Linked DNA regions of Neurospora crassa OR74A. The protein of the gene in region 3 interacts with the protein of the main gene of each other region in a biochemical or structural test. Links are inferred from orthologs where the notes say so. Each region holds a gene or a part of one and is shown on either strand. Other genes may lie near its edges. The genes, in order: NCU03732, NCU08811, prk-10 and aod-2.

Evidence for each region.
Region 1: the proteins of prk-10 (region 3) and NCU03732 form a complex in vitro, tested with the Saccharomyces cerevisiae proteins (2 studies listed by BioGRID, with this or other methods). The link is inferred for Neurospora crassa OR74A from reciprocal best matches to the Saccharomyces cerevisiae genes SNF1 and SIS1.
Region 2: of the proteins of prk-10 (region 3) and NCU08811, one has a biochemical effect on the other in vitro, tested with the Saccharomyces cerevisiae proteins (2 studies listed by BioGRID). The link is inferred for Neurospora crassa OR74A from reciprocal best matches to the Saccharomyces cerevisiae genes SNF1 and GLO3.
Region 4: of the proteins of prk-10 (region 3) and aod-2, one has a biochemical effect on the other in vitro, tested with the Saccharomyces cerevisiae proteins (3 studies listed by BioGRID, with this or other methods). The link is inferred for Neurospora crassa OR74A from reciprocal best matches to the Saccharomyces cerevisiae genes SNF1 and RDS2.

Annotation. Positions count from the first base shown.
Region 1 is NC_026505.1:2,238,293-2,242,762, reverse strand, and holds NCU03732 (SIS1), read left to right. Parts: upstream 1-1,321; 5' UTR 1,322-1,756; coding exon 1,757-1,836; intron 1,837-1,999; coding exon 2,000-2,741; intron 2,742-2,816; coding exon 2,817-3,110; 3' UTR 3,111-3,869; downstream 3,870-4,470. Other genes in the region: NCU03733 (hypothetical protein), read left to right, coding at 1-335. UniProt on the Saccharomyces cerevisiae protein: Required for nuclear migration during mitosis. It is required for the normal initiation of translation. Might mediate the dissociation of a specific protein complex of the translation machinery. Essential for viability.
Region 2 is NC_026504.1:5,157,905-5,162,375, forward strand, and holds NCU08811 (arf GTPase-activating protein), read right to left. Parts: upstream 2,848-4,471; 5' UTR 2,512-2,847; coding exon 2,440-2,511; intron 2,363-2,439; coding exon 2,227-2,362; intron 2,155-2,226; coding exon 1,971-2,154; intron 1,878-1,970; coding exon 1,120-1,877; intron 1,039-1,119; coding exon 698-1,038; 3' UTR 373-697; downstream 1-372. Other genes in the region: NCU08810 (mitochondrial import inner membrane translocase subunit tim-21), read left to right, coding at 3,202-3,510, 3,581-3,826, 3,914-4,114. UniProt on the Saccharomyces cerevisiae protein: GTPase-activating protein for the ADP ribosylation factor (ARF) family. Involved in retrograde vesicular transport from the Golgi to the endoplasmic reticulum.
Region 3 is NC_026505.1:1,659,778-1,664,428, reverse strand, and holds the start of prk-10 (protein kinase SNF1), read left to right. Parts: upstream 1-1,516; 5' UTR 1,517-1,996; coding exon 1,997-2,412; intron 2,413-2,497; coding exon 2,498-3,333; intron 3,334-3,601; coding exon 3,602-4,243; intron 4,244-4,300; coding exon 4,301-4,575; 3' UTR 4,576-4,651. Other genes in the region: NCU11040 (DUF92 domain-containing protein), read left to right, coding at 1-869. UniProt on the Saccharomyces cerevisiae protein: Serine/threonine protein kinase essential for release from glucose repression.
Region 4 is NC_026502.1:1,002,700-1,007,291, reverse strand, and holds the start of aod-2 (alternative oxidase-2), read right to left. Parts: upstream 3,021-4,592; 5' UTR 2,463-3,020; coding exon 2,306-2,462; intron 2,223-2,305; coding exon 2,200-2,222; intron 2,016-2,199; coding exon 1,998-2,015; intron 1,931-1,997; coding exon 1,615-1,930; intron 1,540-1,614; coding exon 740-1,539; intron 672-739; coding exon 475-671; intron 392-474; coding exon 349-391; 3' UTR 1-348. Other genes in the region: NCU03354 (hypothetical protein), read left to right, coding at 4,222-4,592. UniProt on the Saccharomyces cerevisiae protein: Transcription factor which regulates the expression of genes for gluconeogenesis, the TCA cycle, and glucose metabolism. Involved in the cell wall remodeling process and drug resistance.

The DNA.
Region 1 (4,470 bases), about 580 kb from region 3:
AGTTCACTCAGCCGCGGGCAGTGGTCAGGAATCCGAGCAGCTTCATTGACTATCAGGATTGCAAATTCCTGGGTCGTTACGAGCTTTACGAGACCCGGCCAGTGATGTTATGCTCTGGCGTTGCAGACTTGGCGAACACGAGAATCGGCGGTATCGCGATAGTGGACATGGAAACTATGGTTCCTTTACACGAGGTTCCTGTGACCTTGGTGTCGGAACATGGTGCTGCAATGACCAAGAATCCAATGGATGTGGCTGTCGTGGACGGTAAGATGAGGCTGTTCTTCCTGCCCGATGAAAGGAATTCGACTCTCTATGTGTACGAAGCGGTTTGAGTTAGGACATACCGAGCAACGTGGATTATTCTTCTCGGTGTTTGTTTTGGCGTGTTTTTGCACCTTTTTTTTTTTTTTTTTTTTGCCTTCGTCAGGGGTCATCAGAGCAGGTCAACCGGGCTTATTTGGAAAGTCATGACAGTAGGCCTCAGGTCTAACTTGTTCTAGATCTGCTCTGTACCGTCGTGATTCGAGAAATAGAGTCCCGCTTTGCTTCTCCTTGGTGGTTGATGACACATATTTGACGAACTAGTTTAATCCTTCATATGGAGAAGTTCTTGAAGACATGCTTTGACTTTGATCTGCTCCTGACTACAAGTTCTATGGTGAGCTATCCAGGCCTCATTTGTGTGGAGTTGTCGCGGATTTTCCTTATCATGGGGCTGTCATTAAAAGATCGAGTGCGGCCGTTGCTTGCTGTTGGCTTCCATGAGGTTGTGCAACCTTCTTCGTTGCCTTGTAATAAGGCACAATGTAAGGATGATTGATTGGAATCGCGATCATGATTTACGGCAATCCATCCTGTTTCATCGATGCGAGTGAGTACCAGAAGAATGGGATTGCGGGCGAATGGGTATACTGGTATGACGAACTGAGCTGGATCTAACTTTCAAATATCTGGTGATGTGCAGCCCATCGAAGGTGCTGGGTGATGATGTTCATCTTTGATAGGTGCTCCGGACGCGTCCCAACCGCTCAGCAGACTGCTAGCACAGTTTCGCTGAGGTCAAGCGAAGGTCAACTACTTAATGGAGCTTCCCTTCCTGCTAGCTGGCTTGGCGGCCCGCATCAGTTAGTGGGGACTTGGCCTGGACTTACATTGTTAGTATTACTCTTTCCCTGCAGCAGCAAACTGCTCGGGGACATGAAGATTACTAACAGGCGCTACTTTTAGCATGTACCCACTACGCGAGCCCTGCGTCACTATCTCCAGGTCTTGGAAGCCGATAGGCTCACGGTCGAAGGTTCTACAACCTCCTGTTCCTGCTACACACGCCCTTCGCCAAGGCATTTTATGGCCTTGTCCCTCCCTCTTCCACCAAGTGATAGCTTCCTCTCCGACTCTGTGTTGCATCTCAATTCTGTTCAATATCTGAAATCCCTACTCTTGCATTGCGAATTTGCTCTCGCGCATTCCATCAAGATCGACTTTGACAGGCGCTTTACGAGCCATCCAAAGGACCCACGAGCGCTATAGAATCGCTAACGTCTAATACGCATCTGTCATCGCTACCTCACTCTACCTTAATTACCCTACCCGTACCACTACAACAACACAGAACACGTCGGGTTAATTGTTCTCCCTTGCACCTAACGACCGCCGAGACACTTCGCGGCTCTGATCAAGCTTCGCGAAACAGCCTCTACATTTTTACTAGACTCACATACACTACACTCGTCTCTAATATTGCGTCACAAAGATGGTCAAGGAAACGAAGCTCTACGACCTGCTAGGGATCAGCCCTACGGCTACCCAGGACGAGATCAAGAAAGCCTACAGGTGAGCATATCTCCAACCCGAAACCCCACATAACTGCTCTCGCATCTCGCAGTATAAGATCGAGGGAGAGATCTCCTCTTTCCTACGCCATCCTTCTTTCACTTTGGCATTCACATCATCCTCTCTTACAGCCTTCAGTGGACCCCTGCTGACCCCTCACCAGGAAAGCCGCCCTAAAATGGCACCCCGACAAGAACAAGGACAACCCGGAGGCTGCCGAAAAATTCAAGGAGTGCTCTCAGGCGTATGAAATCCTTTCGGATCCCGAGAAACGCAAGATGTACGATCAGTTCGGCCTTGAATTTATCCTGAGAGGCGGCCCGCCCCCGACTGAGGGCGGCGCAAACCCATTTGCCGGAGCTGGTGGCATGCCCGAGGGCTTTGCTTCTTTCTTTGGAGGAGGAGGCATGCCTGGTGGCGGAGGAGGTGCGAGAACATTTTCCTATGGATTCAATTTTACCAACCCCGAGGACCTCTTCCGGGATGCTTTCCGGGATGAAAAGATGGGCGGCGGCATGGGTGGTGGCATGGGTGGTGGCATGGGCGGAATGGGTTTTGAAGACATCCTCTTTAATGCTGCGCGTGGTGGTGCAGGACAGCGCCGAACTGCGAGAAACCCCTTCGGCGGCGCCGACAACATGCGCAGCGCCCGCCAAGCAACACCCGAAGTCACGACAGTTGAACGCCCCTTACCCGTATCCCTTGAGGATCTGTTCCACGGCACGACGAAGAAAATGAAGATCAAGCGCAAGACCTTTGACGAGACCGGTAAGCGCACGACGAGCGATACCGTCTTGGAGGTACCAATCAAGCCCGGCCTCAAGAAGGGTAGCAAAATCCGGTTCAAGGGTGTTGGTGATCAAGAAGAGGGTGGCCAGCAGGATTTGGTGTTCGTCGTCGAAGAGGTACGTATAAACTCCCTTCCCTTTCTTCACGCATTGCCTTTTTGAAGGAATGGCCAGCTGACAATGTGGTTTTAGAAACCACATCCGCTTTTCACTCGGGACGGCAACGACCTAATTCATACTATCGACTTAGACCTCAAGGAGGCATTGACAGGGTGGAAGAGAACCATCACGACGATCGACGGCAAGAGCATTAACATTGAGAAGGCCGGCCCGACACAACCTGGGAGCCAAGATGTATATCCGGGCCTGGGCATGCCCATCTCGAAGCAACCAGGCCAACGGGGCAACCTCATCGTCAAGTATAATGTCAAGTTCCCCACCAGCTTGACGCCTGAACAAAAGGAAAAACTGAAGGAAATCCTCTAAATGGGGTCAAGCGATGAGTATCGGTTCTCTGTGGTAGTTCACTCTCGGATACCTTTGTCCTTCTTGTCGCCTCAACAGGAAGGGACCAGCAGTCTTGGATTGGCCTGAAGAACAGCTTTTAACGCCGGCCTTTGACAACATTCGGGAACCTGTTCGGATCCACCCCCTTGAGTGTATGTAGAATGGTGGGCGTGTTGGATTTGTTTTTTACCCGGGGGGCATTTGCTTTGGTCTCTGTCCGCCATGTGCGGTTCTTGACCATGGTCCACCATATTTGGGCGTTACTGGATTTGTTTCTTCTTTTGGTGCTCAGCTTTCATCGCGTCAGGCTCGCATTGAGATTGGTATTGTTGGTTTAGGCGGCATGTGTGGTGGGAGCTGATGATGACAATTTTCATGATAATGAGTATCCCCGACAAAAGTTCTTAGGCCCCCTGTTGTGAATGTTGGGAGAGGAAAGGGCGCTGGTCTCTCTTAGCATGTTGCGTCCTCTCAAGGTTCAACAATAGCCAGAGACACGCGAGGCCAACGTCAATGGGAATACCATAGCAGGCTTAGATATCAAATGGCTATATCTTTTATAGAAGACGGCTTGGACTACTGCATCTCGGAATGGATTCAAGGTGACAATCCTCGGTCACCACCACCAAACGACACACACGAGGAGAAAATTGATCGTGACCATAGACTACCAAGCGGGGTGGCTAGAACCGATAGATGGACATAGTTACTACAGAATGAAAATCAATGTGCCCAGAAAATCTCTCCCTTTCTCGACTTGACCTTGGAGAGAAACCATAACTTGCTGAAAGACGACGCGGAGCGACATGTGGGAATATGTGCAAGTTCCAGCTACAACAAGTTGGCCAAATAAACACACAGTCGTGTACGTATCTTAGGGGGGGAAGCCACGGCGGGGCCGAATCCAACTGCGAAGAACGATGATTCAACTTGTCCACTTTTCACTTCATCTTGGCTCTCATCACGGGATTTTTGAAAGTACAAACAAGAGGGACAACGACATTGTTAGGTCGGCCCGTCTACCTACCCAACAGCCATTCCAACACCCCGCCAAGCCAAGGATTACATATAACCGGCTGGCTGGTCGATCGGGAAACGCGGCATAATGGGAGAATGAGCGGAAGCGGAAGTGACCACTCGGTCTTACCTTTCCCGCGTTGTCGCTTACCTATACTGCTTTCTGTTTCATTTGTTTTTCTTTTTTTTCTTTTTGGGACTCGGATGGCTGTTCTACTGCTGACTTGATCATCATTTTGGTGCTGATCTCAATGGGGGGTCATGGAAGCATCTCTACGGTTAGATATTTTTGTTATTGGACAAAAGATTTGCAGGGTCCGGG
Region 2 (4,471 bases), on a different chromosome or scaffold from region 3:
CCCCCCTTCTCCCTCCTCCTGCAGGAAAGGGAAAAAAAAAAAAAAAAAAAAAAAAAAAAGGGGGCCGAGAACATTAGGTCAATAAAAAAACAAAAACAATCGCAAAAAAAGAAAGTTTGGTTCATGATCCGACCCAGGCTCGATCTGGGGACCTTCAGTGTGTTAGACTGACGTGATAACCAACTACACCATCGGACCAGCTGTTGTTATTGATAGAATTACGCTGAAGGTAGGCCCTATATCAGTAGCTTCTATTATGGTTGCGCGAGTCAGTTATTAGCAAAAATCTCGCTGAAACCCTGATCAACATCACGATCTCTCCCTGTCAACCTCGACTGCCACCGTAATCGAAAAACCGTACGCTATAGAACACCATCATATCTCTTTCTTGTTGCTTGAATACTTCCCGTGGTCACTTACCAAGATCCCCCTACGCCACGGATGTGAGAACAGCTCATCCAGATCCTGGCCGTCATCCTCTTCGTTAGATATCAGAAACCCGCATCATCTGCCCAGACTACTAGTGCTCTCTACCATAAAACATTCATTCACCATTACACTACAAATACTAATTTTTACTAAAAGGAAGCCTTACCCGCTCGTCCACATCTTTCTGTCTCATAACTAGGTAATTCCCTTCGCCCATCACGTCCAGCTGCCCACCCACACTGCTGCCTCATTCTTCCATTTCCACCGCTCAGCTCCCAAGATAAGCCCTGATAGCACCCTGCAACCTCCCGGCACCCTCACCCACCATCTGCGTAAGGTTCTCCAGATCATCGCTGGCAGTGATGCCAAACTTGCGAATGAAGTCCTTGGCGGCAGACTCGAGGTCGCCGTAGTCTTCGGCGGGCGCGTCGTCCTCGGGACGACCAAAGTAGGCATTGGAAGAGATGGCCTGGGCACCCTCGAAGCCTTGTAGACGGGCCTTGGTCTCGGCCTTGACCGAGGGGTCGTAGTTGCCCTTGTTGAAAAACTCGTCCGAAGAGATGGCCTTTTGGTTGGCGAACTTGTTGCGGGCGTATTGTTCTTCGTCGGCTGTTTCGTATCGATGTTGGTTAGTATTGCGTAAGAAAAAGAAAAAAAAAGAAAGGGAAAGGAGGGAAAAAAAAAACATACCCTCACTAGCCTTAATAGGCCCAACACTTCCAAACCCACCCGCATTCTTCTTCGCCGCCGCCGCTCCTCCCGCGCCCGCCGCAGCACCAGCACCACCGGGCTTGCCCACCATACCGAAACCCAGCTTCCTGACACCCATACCTAGCCTCTCCACCTCAGCAGCCGACTTCTCCTGCGCCGCCGACCGCGAACTGGAGGAGCTGACTGGCGCCGCAGCAGGGGTGATGATATTATTGGTCTTGGTCTCGGCCTTCTTCGCCGCCTTCTCCTCCTCCGCCTCGGGATCGTAACCCAGCTTCTCGATGCGCTCCGCCTCCTCCTTGGCCTTCTTCTCCGCCTCGTCGAAATCGATCAGGTCCGCCGAAATCTTCTTGACGCCCAGCTTAGCCGCGGGCTTCTTGGCGCCTAGGATGCCGCCGCCCACCTTGCGCGGGCCGCCGGTGGTGCTGCTGCCGGGGGTGGTTTTCCTTAGGGCCGCGGAGGTGGTGATGCGGCTGGCGGCGGGGGCGGGAGTGGGAGCATCGGAATCGGTCTTGGAGAGCGGCGAGGAAGTGCGCTGGATGTCCTTGCCGTTGCCGAGGAGCGGGGAGGCGGTGCGGCCGATGACGGGGGGTGTGGAAGTGCGGGAAATGGGTGGCGTGGGCTTCTTGATGGCGGGCTTGTCCCACGAGGAAAAGAAGTCGTCGTCGGGCTCGCCGGCCGGGGTGTTGCTGCTTGTGGCATCGTCACCGTCGGTGATGACAACTTCTTCGGGGTATCTGGGTGGGAGGTAAACAGCGCGTCAGCATTGCATTTCATGTAACGTGGAATAAAACAGGTTTGTGTAAATGAGGGGTAGGGGCATTGCATACTCGCGGGCGTCCCTAGCAGCCCTCTTCTTGAGCTCCTCCTTGTACTTGGTCGCGGCAGCAGATTGGTACTTGGTCTTGGGGTCCTTGCTGTTCAAGGCGGCGGAACCACCGTTTTGCTGAAAGAACTTGGTTGCCGACTCATTGCCGCCCACCTTCATGATCCGTAGCTGGTCCCATTGCCATTCTGTACAAGAACAAGGTTCGCGTTAGCGGGCGAGGTGTCGCGTCGTGGAGTAAAGATCGAGAGGGCACATACGGTCGAGGTTAGTAGACCGCACAAAGGAAATGTGAACGCCGAGGTTGCGGTGGTTGGCCGAGCAATCGAGGCAGAGGTAGATGCCAAAGGGGACCGAGGTCCATGTTGGGTTCTTTTGGCCGCAGTCGAAGCAGATCTGTTGTTCGCGGGAAGGGAGGCAGCAGTTAGCTTTCTGGATGTCTAGGGTCGATCGCTGCTCGCGTGGGCACATACCTTGTTGGCTGGCTTCGCCTTGAGCTTCTCAAAAAGCTTGAGCGACTGCTGCTTTGTCGCGAGACCGCTCATCTTGTCGGTCGGCAGTCCGGTGATGGTTCGGATTAGGTATGTCTGTCCTTTGCCAGGGTTGTGATGTGTCACTAGATCTCGACTGTCGTTGTTGATGACCCCTTTGCTCGGTTAGGTTGTCAGGGTCGGTAGGTCGGTGCTGCCGTCAGGGGGGGGAAGGTGAAAAAGGGGGCAGAAGAGGGAGAGAAGTCAAACAAGGCGGCGCTGTAGGTTTTCGGGCTTGTTACAAGTTGTCAATCTTTCAAGTGTTGTCATTCGCTCGCAGTTAATTCAGGAGACGGGGGGGGAGCCCCAGCGGAGAGAGCCGGGCTGCCTGGCAACCTACCTACGTACCTGTATGGTATTGGAACGTCCACTGGAACGTTGGGCCACATTTCTTTGTGTTCCCCAGCCAAGAATCAGACGCTTCCACTTGCTCATGGAGGTTCGCCCTTCCATGTGGCATCTTGGCGCCTTGGCACACAGTCCCGTCTCTACCTAGTGGAGCGCAACACGAACCCGACTCCACCCCTCGCCGGACGGACCTCCTCTGCCGGGAAAGATGCCGTGCCGGCAAACGGTTCCAAAGCTTCATCCAACCGCAGCTCATCACAGCTTCGTTCGGACCTCTCATTCTCATTGAAGCTCTCATAACAATCGCAAACGGCTGAAACATTGCCGTTGAAATATGGGTGTTGTGTTGAAGCCTCCATGATGAAAATGCTCACAGGTACTTCGGCGGGTGTGAGGCTTCTTCTGAGCCCCGCCGTGGTCCGTCAACAAGCAACCATTACCACAGCAGCTTCGAGAGCTCTTCCTCCGACAGCAGCTAGCGTCATTCTCGTCTCATCGCGCCGGCAATATGCGACTACGCAAGAAAGTTCCAAGAGGAGATCCGTAACGCCCTTCAATGATGATGGCCATGTGCCCTGGACTCGGCTCTCCACCGGTGAAAAAGCCGGGCGCGCCGTCCAGCAAACGTTCAACTTTGGTCTGGTGATTTTGGGTGTGGTTTTGACCGTACGCTTTCTTCTTCCCAATTCATCGCTCACTCCGGTGTGTTGTGTGTAGTACTAACTCTACCACACAGGGAGGAATTGCCTACCTACTCTTCACCGACGTGTTCTCCCCAGAGTCCAAAACCGCCTACTTCAACCGAGCCGTTGACCGGATCCGTGCCGACCCTCGCTGCGTCGCCCTTCTTTCGCCCGGCGACCCAAAGAAGATTGCTGCTCACGGCGAAGAGACACACAACAAGTGGCGCCGGGCGCGGCCGATCGCGGCAACGGTCGAGAAGGATAATAGGGGTGTGGAGCATCTAAAGATGCATTTCCATGTTCGTTTTACTTCTTCTTCTTCTTTTTCTTTCCCCTGTTTTGTTAAAAATTTGTTGTGATGATGGGGCTAACACCAAGAAAAACAGGTCGAAGGACCAAGAGGTTCTGGTGTCGTCGGGCTGCATCTGACCAAGCAACCAGGTCACTGGGAGCATGAGTACCAGACCTTTTACGTGGATGTGAGGGGACATCAGAGAATTTACTTGGAGAATAAGGAGGCAGAAGTGGCGGCTGCTAAGAAGGGTGGCAACAAGGAGTTCAAGTTCTTGGGTGTCAAGTGGAACTGAAAGGCTTCCATTCGCTTGTATGAATATTGTTCAAGGCTGCTGGTCATTGTTGCAATGATGAACGGCGATGCAGTGAAATATGGGTTTGCCGGTTAGTCTTGTTTCTTTCAATGAGTATGTTTGTTATCTTCGGTGTGTCATTATGATGCGTCATGGAGGCTTAGCATCGCACGTTGGATATGAGAACAAGTCTGCAAATTGGAATTAGAGTGCTTTCATTATATGTCCTCATCGTTGGTACGGATACCAAGACCGCAGTTGCTTGTACTCTGTCATGCCCTTCTCTTTTCCTGAAAATCAAATCAGAGAGCTTCCTGAATGACCCTAAACTGTTGCAGTGCTATTCCATCGCCTTTC
Region 3 (4,651 bases):
CGCTCACGGCTTCCATCTTCTCTCTGCTCCACGCTTATCAGCTGCATGTGCGCAAGCAGACGCTGATCGCTAATCCCACCAGCACAGGGACCGGTAGCCTTTGCTTCTCCTGGGGCGGCGACTTGTTGGTGATTGGTATCATTGCCAATTATGCCTGTGTTGCGGCCGACACCTTTAGCTCCGAGCTGGGCATTCTGTCCAAGGGCGAGCCGCGCCTAATCACAAGCTGGAACTTGCGCAAGGTACCGCGTGGCACCAACGGCGGCGTTTCCCTCGTCGGTCTTGGCGCTGGCCTGTTGGGCAGCATGATCATCGTTACGGCGTCCATGCTTCTTCTGCCTCTTTGCACTGACGAGACGGCTACGAGACTTGGCGGTGCCGCGGGCTGGTCACTGGGACAGCGCCGCATGCTGATTCTCGGTCTCACGGTCTGGGGTTTTTTGGGCAGCGTTGTGGACAGCATTTTGGGCGGGCTCTTCCAGGCCAGTGTCAAGGATGTGCGTACGGGCAAGATTGTGGAGGGCGAGGGTGGCGTGAGGGTACTGGTTACCAACGCTACGAACCCCAACAACGTTGCCGGTCGGACTAAGGCTGAGATTAAGTCGTCTCTTCTGTCTGGCGAGGGGACGGATGCGGTGGAGGATGTCGGCGCCGCTGCCGGTAACAAGTACGATTCGCGCAACAAGCAGCGGAGGTCGAGCTTTGGAGACGAGAGGCCGTCGCGAGTGGTGGAGAACGGCTGGGACCTGCTTGATAACAATGATGTCAACTTCTTGATGGCATTCGGCATGAGCGTGGGAGCGATGGCCGTCGCATCATGGTATTGGGGAGTTCCTCTGCAGTCTGTGTTGTCGCCATGGTGGGCATAAGGCAGTCGCAGGTGGGTGGTGAATGACTTTCGCTAGAGATGTTGGCTAGCTAAACAATTCCATGGATGACATATGAGAGCTCAGTCGTCATTTTGATTACACATTCAGATCACGGCTTTGGGTGAAGCTTGGGCAGGTACCTTGCTCGCTATCCGGATGATGCTAACCAAAAGCCGGCGCGATTGACCATTGAGGTTCTCATTGTACCAAACATCCACAATTCAAGACCAGCGATCCGTACATGGGATCGAAGACCAGCCTGGCTTACAATTGAATCCTTTGGTATTCTATACACGAGAACGTTGTATACCTAGTCTTTGTAATTTCGACTTGCTACCATTTTGGGCCATAATGTGTGGTAGACACGTATAGGCGTACACAGGGCTTTTATCGGCCTTGTGACAATGGTCCTGTGACCGAGCCGGATGACCTCCCCTCGGCCAGCCAGGCGGTAGTAACGAAACATGAAGTAGGTACAGTAGCTGATGAATGATGGAACTTTCCGTCCGGCTCGGCAGCCCCGTTGTACCTAAGTTAAGGTGGCCGCTTTCCGGAGCGCTCTGACCCCGCGATGCTGCCGTTTGTCGTCCCTGCATCCTTCCAACTCCTCCACTAATTCCCCCATTCTTCACCCCAGATCCCCGCCCGACTCCTTCCACCCCGTTTTCCATTACACCATCTCTGGATTGTTGCCCCGCTGCAGTGTTCGCTTGTCCACTTCCTCCTATGGAACCTAACAGCTCCAACACCCACTTGATTGCCCGCTGCGCTGCCCGTCCACCGCGATTGCTGATTCTTGTCGGCTGACAACCGAACACCGACCGAATGCGCATCCGATACATGATGTTCTCCTGAACAAAGCAAGGCGGTACCTTACATCGACCGACGACGCTACAACACAGACAGCCCACCGAGCCTTGACTTGACGTCCCTAGCTTCATTAGCTCCAACCTCTTGGGTCTGTTCGCTCCCGCTCCCAGGATTCAATCGAGGGACCATCGCGGTTCCTCCATTGCCCATTCACCCTCTTCACCAGCCAGTCGGACGACATCTGGTCAGACGAAACGAACGACCTTCCATCCGCGATTCAGTGTCGTCCACTTGTGTTGCAAGCGACTCCGTCTGCCATGGCACAGGCCTACGATGACGAGGAGCTTTCCATCTCCTTGTCTCCTTCTCAGATCCGAAGTCGCAATAAGCGATCCGGCGATGGCGCATCAGGCTTCGGCCCCAGTACCGGCAACCTCCACGAATACGGTCAACACGGTCAGCAATTACACCCTAATATCAACGCCGTCATGGCCGACGCACCCCTCCGCGACAAGATGCGCACCGAGCAGCGCATCGGTGCCTATAACATTGTCAAGACGCTCGGCGAAGGCAGCTTCGGAAAGGTCAAGCTGGCTGTCCATCGCATGACCGGCCAGCAGGTCGCTCTCAAGATCATCGCCCGCAAGAAGCTCATCAGCCGCGACATGCAAGGTCGCGTAGAGCGCGAGATTGAGTATCTTCAATTGCTAAGGCATCCCCATATCATCAAGCTGTAAGGCACCCCTCGACGCCCATGCGCAGCAGACGTTGGCTCTGGTCCTTTACGTACACGTTGGCTAACCCGGCGCGCATACCAGGTACACCGTTATCAAAACACCAACCGAGATCATCATGGTGCTAGAGTATGCCGGCGGCGAATTGTTCGATTACATTGTTCAACATGGAAAGATGAAGGAGGACGAAGCCCGCCGCTTCTTTCAGCAGATGCTATGCGCCGTCGAATACTGTCATCGTCACAAGATCGTTCATCGCGACCTAAAGCCCGAAAACCTCTTGCTGGACGATAATCTCAATGTCAAAATTGCCGATTTTGGTCTTAGCAATATCATGACCGACGGTAATTTCCTCAAGACCAGCTGCGGCTCTCCCAATTACGCGGCTCCCGAGGTCATTGGCGGCAAGCTTTACGCAGGACCCGAAGTCGATGTCTGGAGTTGCGGTGTCATTCTTTACGTCCTACTCGTCGGGCGCCTCCCTTTCGACGACGAGCATATCCCCAGTCTTTTTGCCAAAATTGCGCGTGGAAGCTACATGGTGCCGACCTGGATGAGTCCCGGCGCGGCGTCACTAATCAAGAAGATGTTGGTTGTCAACCCTGTTCAACGTGCCACAATTGACGAAATCCGCCAGGACCCGTGGTTCCTCAAGGATCTGCCGGCTTACCTTCACCCTCCTGTTGAGGAGTTCCTCAATACTGGCGTGGACCCCAACAAGGCCATCAAGGTTAGCGACATTGCGCCAAATGCCCCTCCGCAGGAACAGGAGAAGTTGCATAATGAGGTCACGGAGAAGATCAGTAAAACCATGGGCTACGGCAAGAGAGATGTCGAAGAGGCCTTGGAGGCCGATGAACCCTCGGCCATCAAAGATGCCTACATGATCGTGCGTGAGAACAAGCTGATGCAGAGTAACCGTGAGTCTACGCTCCCTCCCAGCAAGTCTTTTGTCTTCTCATCATTGGAACCTATCGATCCCTTTGCGATGCTATACTCGTCCGTTTTGTCCTTCTTTCGCAGTTGATTTTGCCACGTCCCATCCTCCTTCGGCGTCCATTTTACACTTGCCTAGTGGTGAACATCGCTTGACGCAAAAAAAAAGCAAATCCTTGAGTTTGCGACCATCGTCCTTTTGGAGCAACACCAATGAGGAATACCAGGATACCCTACTAAAAACCGATGAAGAAATTCCAGGCCTCACGACAGAGGAGTCTGTCCCGAGTCCGCTCCATGACCCGAATATGTCATCAGCTCGCTCGATCGCATCCGTTAGCACAGCAACTTCACCGCGGCCATATGTCAGCAAGATCGGTATTTTGCCTAGCAGTCTTCCTACCTACCACAGGGTCTTTATGGAGCGAGAGAAGGCCAAGGCCGAAGGTCTTGAGCCCCCTGATGCCATCCCCACCATCGTTGAGCCGGCAAATCAGCCGCGCAGCCAAGCTGAACAAGAAGAGACTATCCGAAGACTCAAGCCACATTCGAGGAGTCAACTTCGCCTTGACGAGGCCAACAAGCGCCCACAAGGACTTACCCCCGTCCACCCGCCCAAGAAGAACAAGCCTGCTCGATGGCAATTTGGTATTCGATCCCGGAACGCTCCTTGGGAGGCGCTGGTGTGTATTTACAAGGCGCTAAACAAGCTTGGCGCTGGGTGGATTGTCGATGAAGACTACGAAAGAGCCCACCGGGACGATGACGACACTGATGACTATGATGGGCCTAGTATCGGGTCCCGCAAGAAGTCATCATCCAGCATGGATCCCACCAAGACATATAGACTTCCTGCGGACCCCTGGCATATCAAGATTCGGTGGACAACTGATAGTGAGTTTCCGGTCTGTCCGGCCCAAATGGCAAAGTTTGGCTAACATTGGCTGTCAGAGCTCAAAAAGCATTCGGTTGCCTCCGGCCTCAGCGAAGCAGGAGAGAACACGCATGTTAGCCGGGATGGCAGCGACAGCAAATACCAGGTTGTGGCCATGCGTATGGAGATTCAGATATACGAAATGGAGCACGGCGTCTATCTTGTCGATTTCAAGGTAGACGGGTACGAGACCCCCGATGGAAAGCTTCTAGAGGATAAGGAAGTCACGAGCCCCTTCCCCTTCCTTGATATGGCGGCCAAACTCATCATGCAGTTGGCAGACGCAGATTGAGGTGCCCCGACAATCAATTAATGGCTTGCGGTCGCTACGTTCATGCCTTTGGTTTTGTTTCACAGATTCCGTGCCT
Region 4 (4,592 bases), on a different chromosome or scaffold from region 3:
GAAGCGCCAGCCCCCCTTCTGTCTTTCCGCGGAAGGCACGACCTTCTTTTTGCCTTTACGCTGCCCTACTCCTACCGCCATTTATTACTAGTTTGCGCGAAATGCATATCCTGCCCACTAACGATAAGCATCAAGTCCCGTATCGAGCATGGCCATACCAGTAACGCTAATTAGGTAGTTCTGATGGATTGTCGCAAACCCATGTACTGTTCACCGCGCTTCTTATCCGACCAAAGCTAGCAATTGCTGCTCATGGGAAACAAGTGTCGCATTGTTCATCCGCATTGCGGATCACAGGAGCACTGATTTGGGAAATATATGTTGTGGCAGAGTGTATACTAAACACTGTCATGGGTCGTGTGGGAGGAAGTTGCCAACAATCAAGCTCGGACTACATGTACCTGTTAGCCTCACCACCATACCACTTTGCCTGTAACAAACACAGGGGATCCGTGAAAAACAAAAGACACTTACATCTTGTGATCGTCCCTACGGATCCTGAAAGAAAAGCAACAGTTCACAACTTTGGTCCCCTTGTCATCGTTGGGGTTCTTGAGTGAACACGCTGTGATCAGGGTATCGTGAGCCGGGTCGAATGCTATTGTGCCGAATTCTTCCCAGTATCTCACGTTCGACTCTTCCGTCAGGATCTCATGCAGGGCGATTTGACCCTAAGCAAAACCAAAGTCAGCATCATAGCTAATATTCCACGTCGGCGCATTGGTGCTGTGTCTCTTACCCCTCGTAAACTCTCTACTGGCACGCCTATGAGCTCCGCCATCTCTTTGTTTCCCCTGAAAATCTGTCCGGTTCGTCTCCAGCAGCAGGCTGGAACGGCCATACTGGCAAAAACTCGGTCGTACTCCAACAGCGTCCTCTCGAACCACATTTCCACCATCAGCAGGTCCATATCAGTCAACAATTGTATCTTCTCGCGGAACTTGGGTCGAAATCGGTCGATCTGCTTTAGAATCTTTTGTTTTGACGTCGGCGACACGTGTCCATCCAGGTAATCCGATAGCCTCTTATAGCCAAGGATGTAGTTGAACGGCTTTAATAGTCCGGCTTCGTACTTGGCTCGTAGCAAGCGCTGCATGCGTTCCTCCGGTGTGTCGTTTCCGGACGGATCTGCCGCTTGAAGATAGTATGCATCCCGGGCATTATCCAAGTTTGTACTCGCGGGCTTCCCTATCGCCGTTGTTTGGTCGCTACTTGGTGGTAGCATCGAGGTCCCCTGTGTGGCACTTGGGGGGAGCATGCCGCTGGTGCTGCTACTGTTTCCCTTGTTGTTACTGCTAGCATTGTTGCCGTTGTTATTGGCATTTGGCAATCCCGACACCGCAGACTGGTTGGCCCCCAATATTAGGCCATGATCATCAGACATGAAGGCCGACTCCTCGAGCAAGCCTGCCGACAAGAATTCGTTCAATAGATTGAATTCATTCGTAACCTCTGGTGCCACCATGTAGTTTGGATGGAAGTTGTGCATGTCGTGATAGTGGTTTTGAGTGGTTAACCAAGAATCCGGAAGTCCGGCAACTATGTTGGGCAATTTCAGCAACTGACTGACCATAGTGGAGAAAGGCAAAAGGAGGATCCAGCGCCAACACTCACATTGATTCATGCTACCGCCAAGGGCGCTGGCTTGTATACCAGCAACAGAACCTGGTTGCACGAGCTGGAGAGGAGCGCCCCGGCCTACCGCTGCAGCACCTGCTACCTGGACAGATCCATTGCCCATACCGCTATCAAAACCGGGTGGTCTCATGGCCTTGTCTGTAGCGTTGCGCCCAATGTCCGGCTGGGACTCGGAGTCATGTAGGGTCGAAGTCCCAAGCACGCTCTTGGCCTTGCGCGACTCGGTATCGCGAGGCTCATCGTGGCAGAGATGGCCGATGTTTCGCTTGATGCATCTTGTACAAGGTCTCTCCTATGAATGGTAACGAAAAATTCGTTAGCTAGAGCTCCACCTTGGCGAAGGGGGGAGGAATACATACAAGATCACACGTCATGTGCTAAGGCAGCCAAAACAACATGGTCAGCCACCAGGATAACTAGTAAAGTCTGTGTGTATATCGAGACCGAGCGGGGTCTTCTGCAGGACTCCGTACTATGGCAGTTACGGTAGCCCATGTACGAAGCCTGGGTAACTAGCACGGCAGGAGATGGGGTGTCGGCGGTGCATTCTGGTCGACTTACAGATCGGCGGCAGTAAAGGCAGGCTACAACAGGCGCACCAGACAAAGTTAGCAAGCTGGAGAAGAGCGGTCAAGTGATGTAGGCAGGAAGACAGCGGAAAAAGTACCATGATTGACCTTGCGGCGCTTCTTGGGCGCCTTTTGCACATCGTCAGCGGGCGTGGGATGGTGATCCTTGGGCTTGGTGTCGCTTCCGGACTTGGTGATGTCCTTGGTTCCCGCCTCTTTGCCGTTGGGCTTTTCCGTGGCTTCTGTTCCCGTCATTGCTTATCGAGTGTAGAGGCTCCCATTGGATCTGGTGGTTACGCAACGGCCGTTGAGTTCACTGCTCATCTAAAGCCAGGCCGGCGGCTCCTCGCAGGGGGATGGTGGCAGTTTAACGTTGATTCCGAGCCAGCCTTTGTTGTGGTTGTTCTTACACCTCTTTCCCTTAAATATGAATCTTCTCTTTTAACAACCTCGGGCGTTGTTGACGTTTGGCGGATGTTTCCTCCGGTATTGTTCTTTCCTTGGTGTTCTGCTCGGGTTCCCCGGTCGGTTGGTAAGCTCGTTTCGTTACGGTTGCCTCGGCTCGTCACCTTTCGTCCAAGTCTCAAGTGTATAGGTAGGTAGCGGTCGCGTTCCTTTGTGGTTATGGTCCGTGACTGCGTCGTTCGCAAGTGGTTACGGGCTCGGTCATGCGACTGCGATGAACATTGATTCAAGACGGCAATGGTCGTCGACTGGCGGCAGCAGTACGGCAGGATTCTGGCGGTTCGTCTCGGGAAAATGGCTCTCTTGTCAAAGTTCCGTAATCGATACTTTTTGTTTGCCGGCACCGAGGGAGCCTCATTGGCCTCCACTGTCGCGCAAGCTCAATTGCATGCGGCGTCTCCCATGTAATGGAACCTGAAGGATGCAACAGACGGCCAGACCGGGACACCAAGAACGGCAGGGGTTCCTCTTGTCCGCCCGCCCTCATTCGCCAGGACCGCTGGACAGGAGGGGATGGACACCCACAGGTGCCTTGCTGCAGGGCTGGCCACAGTGTGTAACCCGCTGTAACTTTCCTTGCACACCTTCAAGTCGAAAACAGCAAGTGGGGTCCTGAAGCCTGGATTCGCCAGCTGATGAATTTCGAGATGTCGATGTTGAATGCTGAACTATAGACCGGTGTTTTACATGTACCGATAATATCACCAAGCCATCACTCAAAGGTATCCTTGTGGTCACTGTGGTAAATGAAGAGTGAGGACCAAATCAATCTGGAACTCAAAAGGGAACCAAAAACAACCAAGAACAAAAAGTTCAGTGCCCTTGTGATCATGCGTCCTCTTTCCCTTTCGGGAGCCTCCAATCAAAACCGAGGCCAATGCTATGACTTACATAATATCCCATGCTAACTTGTCCACGATTTGTCGGCATTTTAGTGCACATACGTACCTACTCCATGTTCAGTCTTTACATGTGACTCTTCTGCCGACCATCATATTCGTGTTGGGTTTACCTATTTGATCTATATGCCTGAATAACAACTCCAACGTTGCAGGAGCACATATAACGACATGAAGTCATGCGCAGCACTCTGTTGACTCAAAATGCAGATGGGTTCAAGTTCTTGATCTTCCAAGAGAACTGAAGCGCATGAGTCTTGCTCCGATTTCCCTGCAGAGATCCAACAGGCGGGCGATCTTTACCAGGCTGTGTCTAACTAGCCAGAGCAGCCAATAAGGGCCGTTTTGTTTCACAGCAGGCAGTAAGGAATCGTGAGCCTAATTGATGCAATAGGTCTAGAGCGGGGAAGTCTGTTGACCGCAACCAAGTGAACCTACCTCTGAGACTTCTACTACGAGATGGCTATCTTCGTCCCGACTAATGGCCTATCGCCTGGTCATAAGGGGGCTGAAACCCCATCATTATCACTCAGTTTGACATCCTGACATTCACTTCCCAGATTCGAGATCCTCAACTTCCTGTCGTGTCCATCGTGTACTCCACAACTCATCCCAGCTTTGGGGGCAATAAACTCAATTGTCAGCCAAATATGATCTCCTGGCATCGAGAAACGTGTGGTCGACCAGATGTCTATCTGGTTGACGGAGGCATACCCTTCTGCATGAGTTGCGATTCGTTGGCGCCTTTGGACGACCTGTCAGCCAGTCAGGTCCCGTCAAACCCATCAGTGCTTTATCATGACGAGACAAAGGCTCTATCACTGCACTGGCCAGCTTCTGTTGACTACGAGACTCATTGCTACGACTCCAATGGTTGCGATATCTCATCACAGCTTGCAGAGATTCTCGGTACCGAACCATGGGACGACAAGACGAGCAGGCCATCCAGCGAGCGGCCCTCAAGCATGAAAGCAAAAGATGGAGTTTCTTCTTGCGAACCATTGTCTTCAGGCCAAGGGCC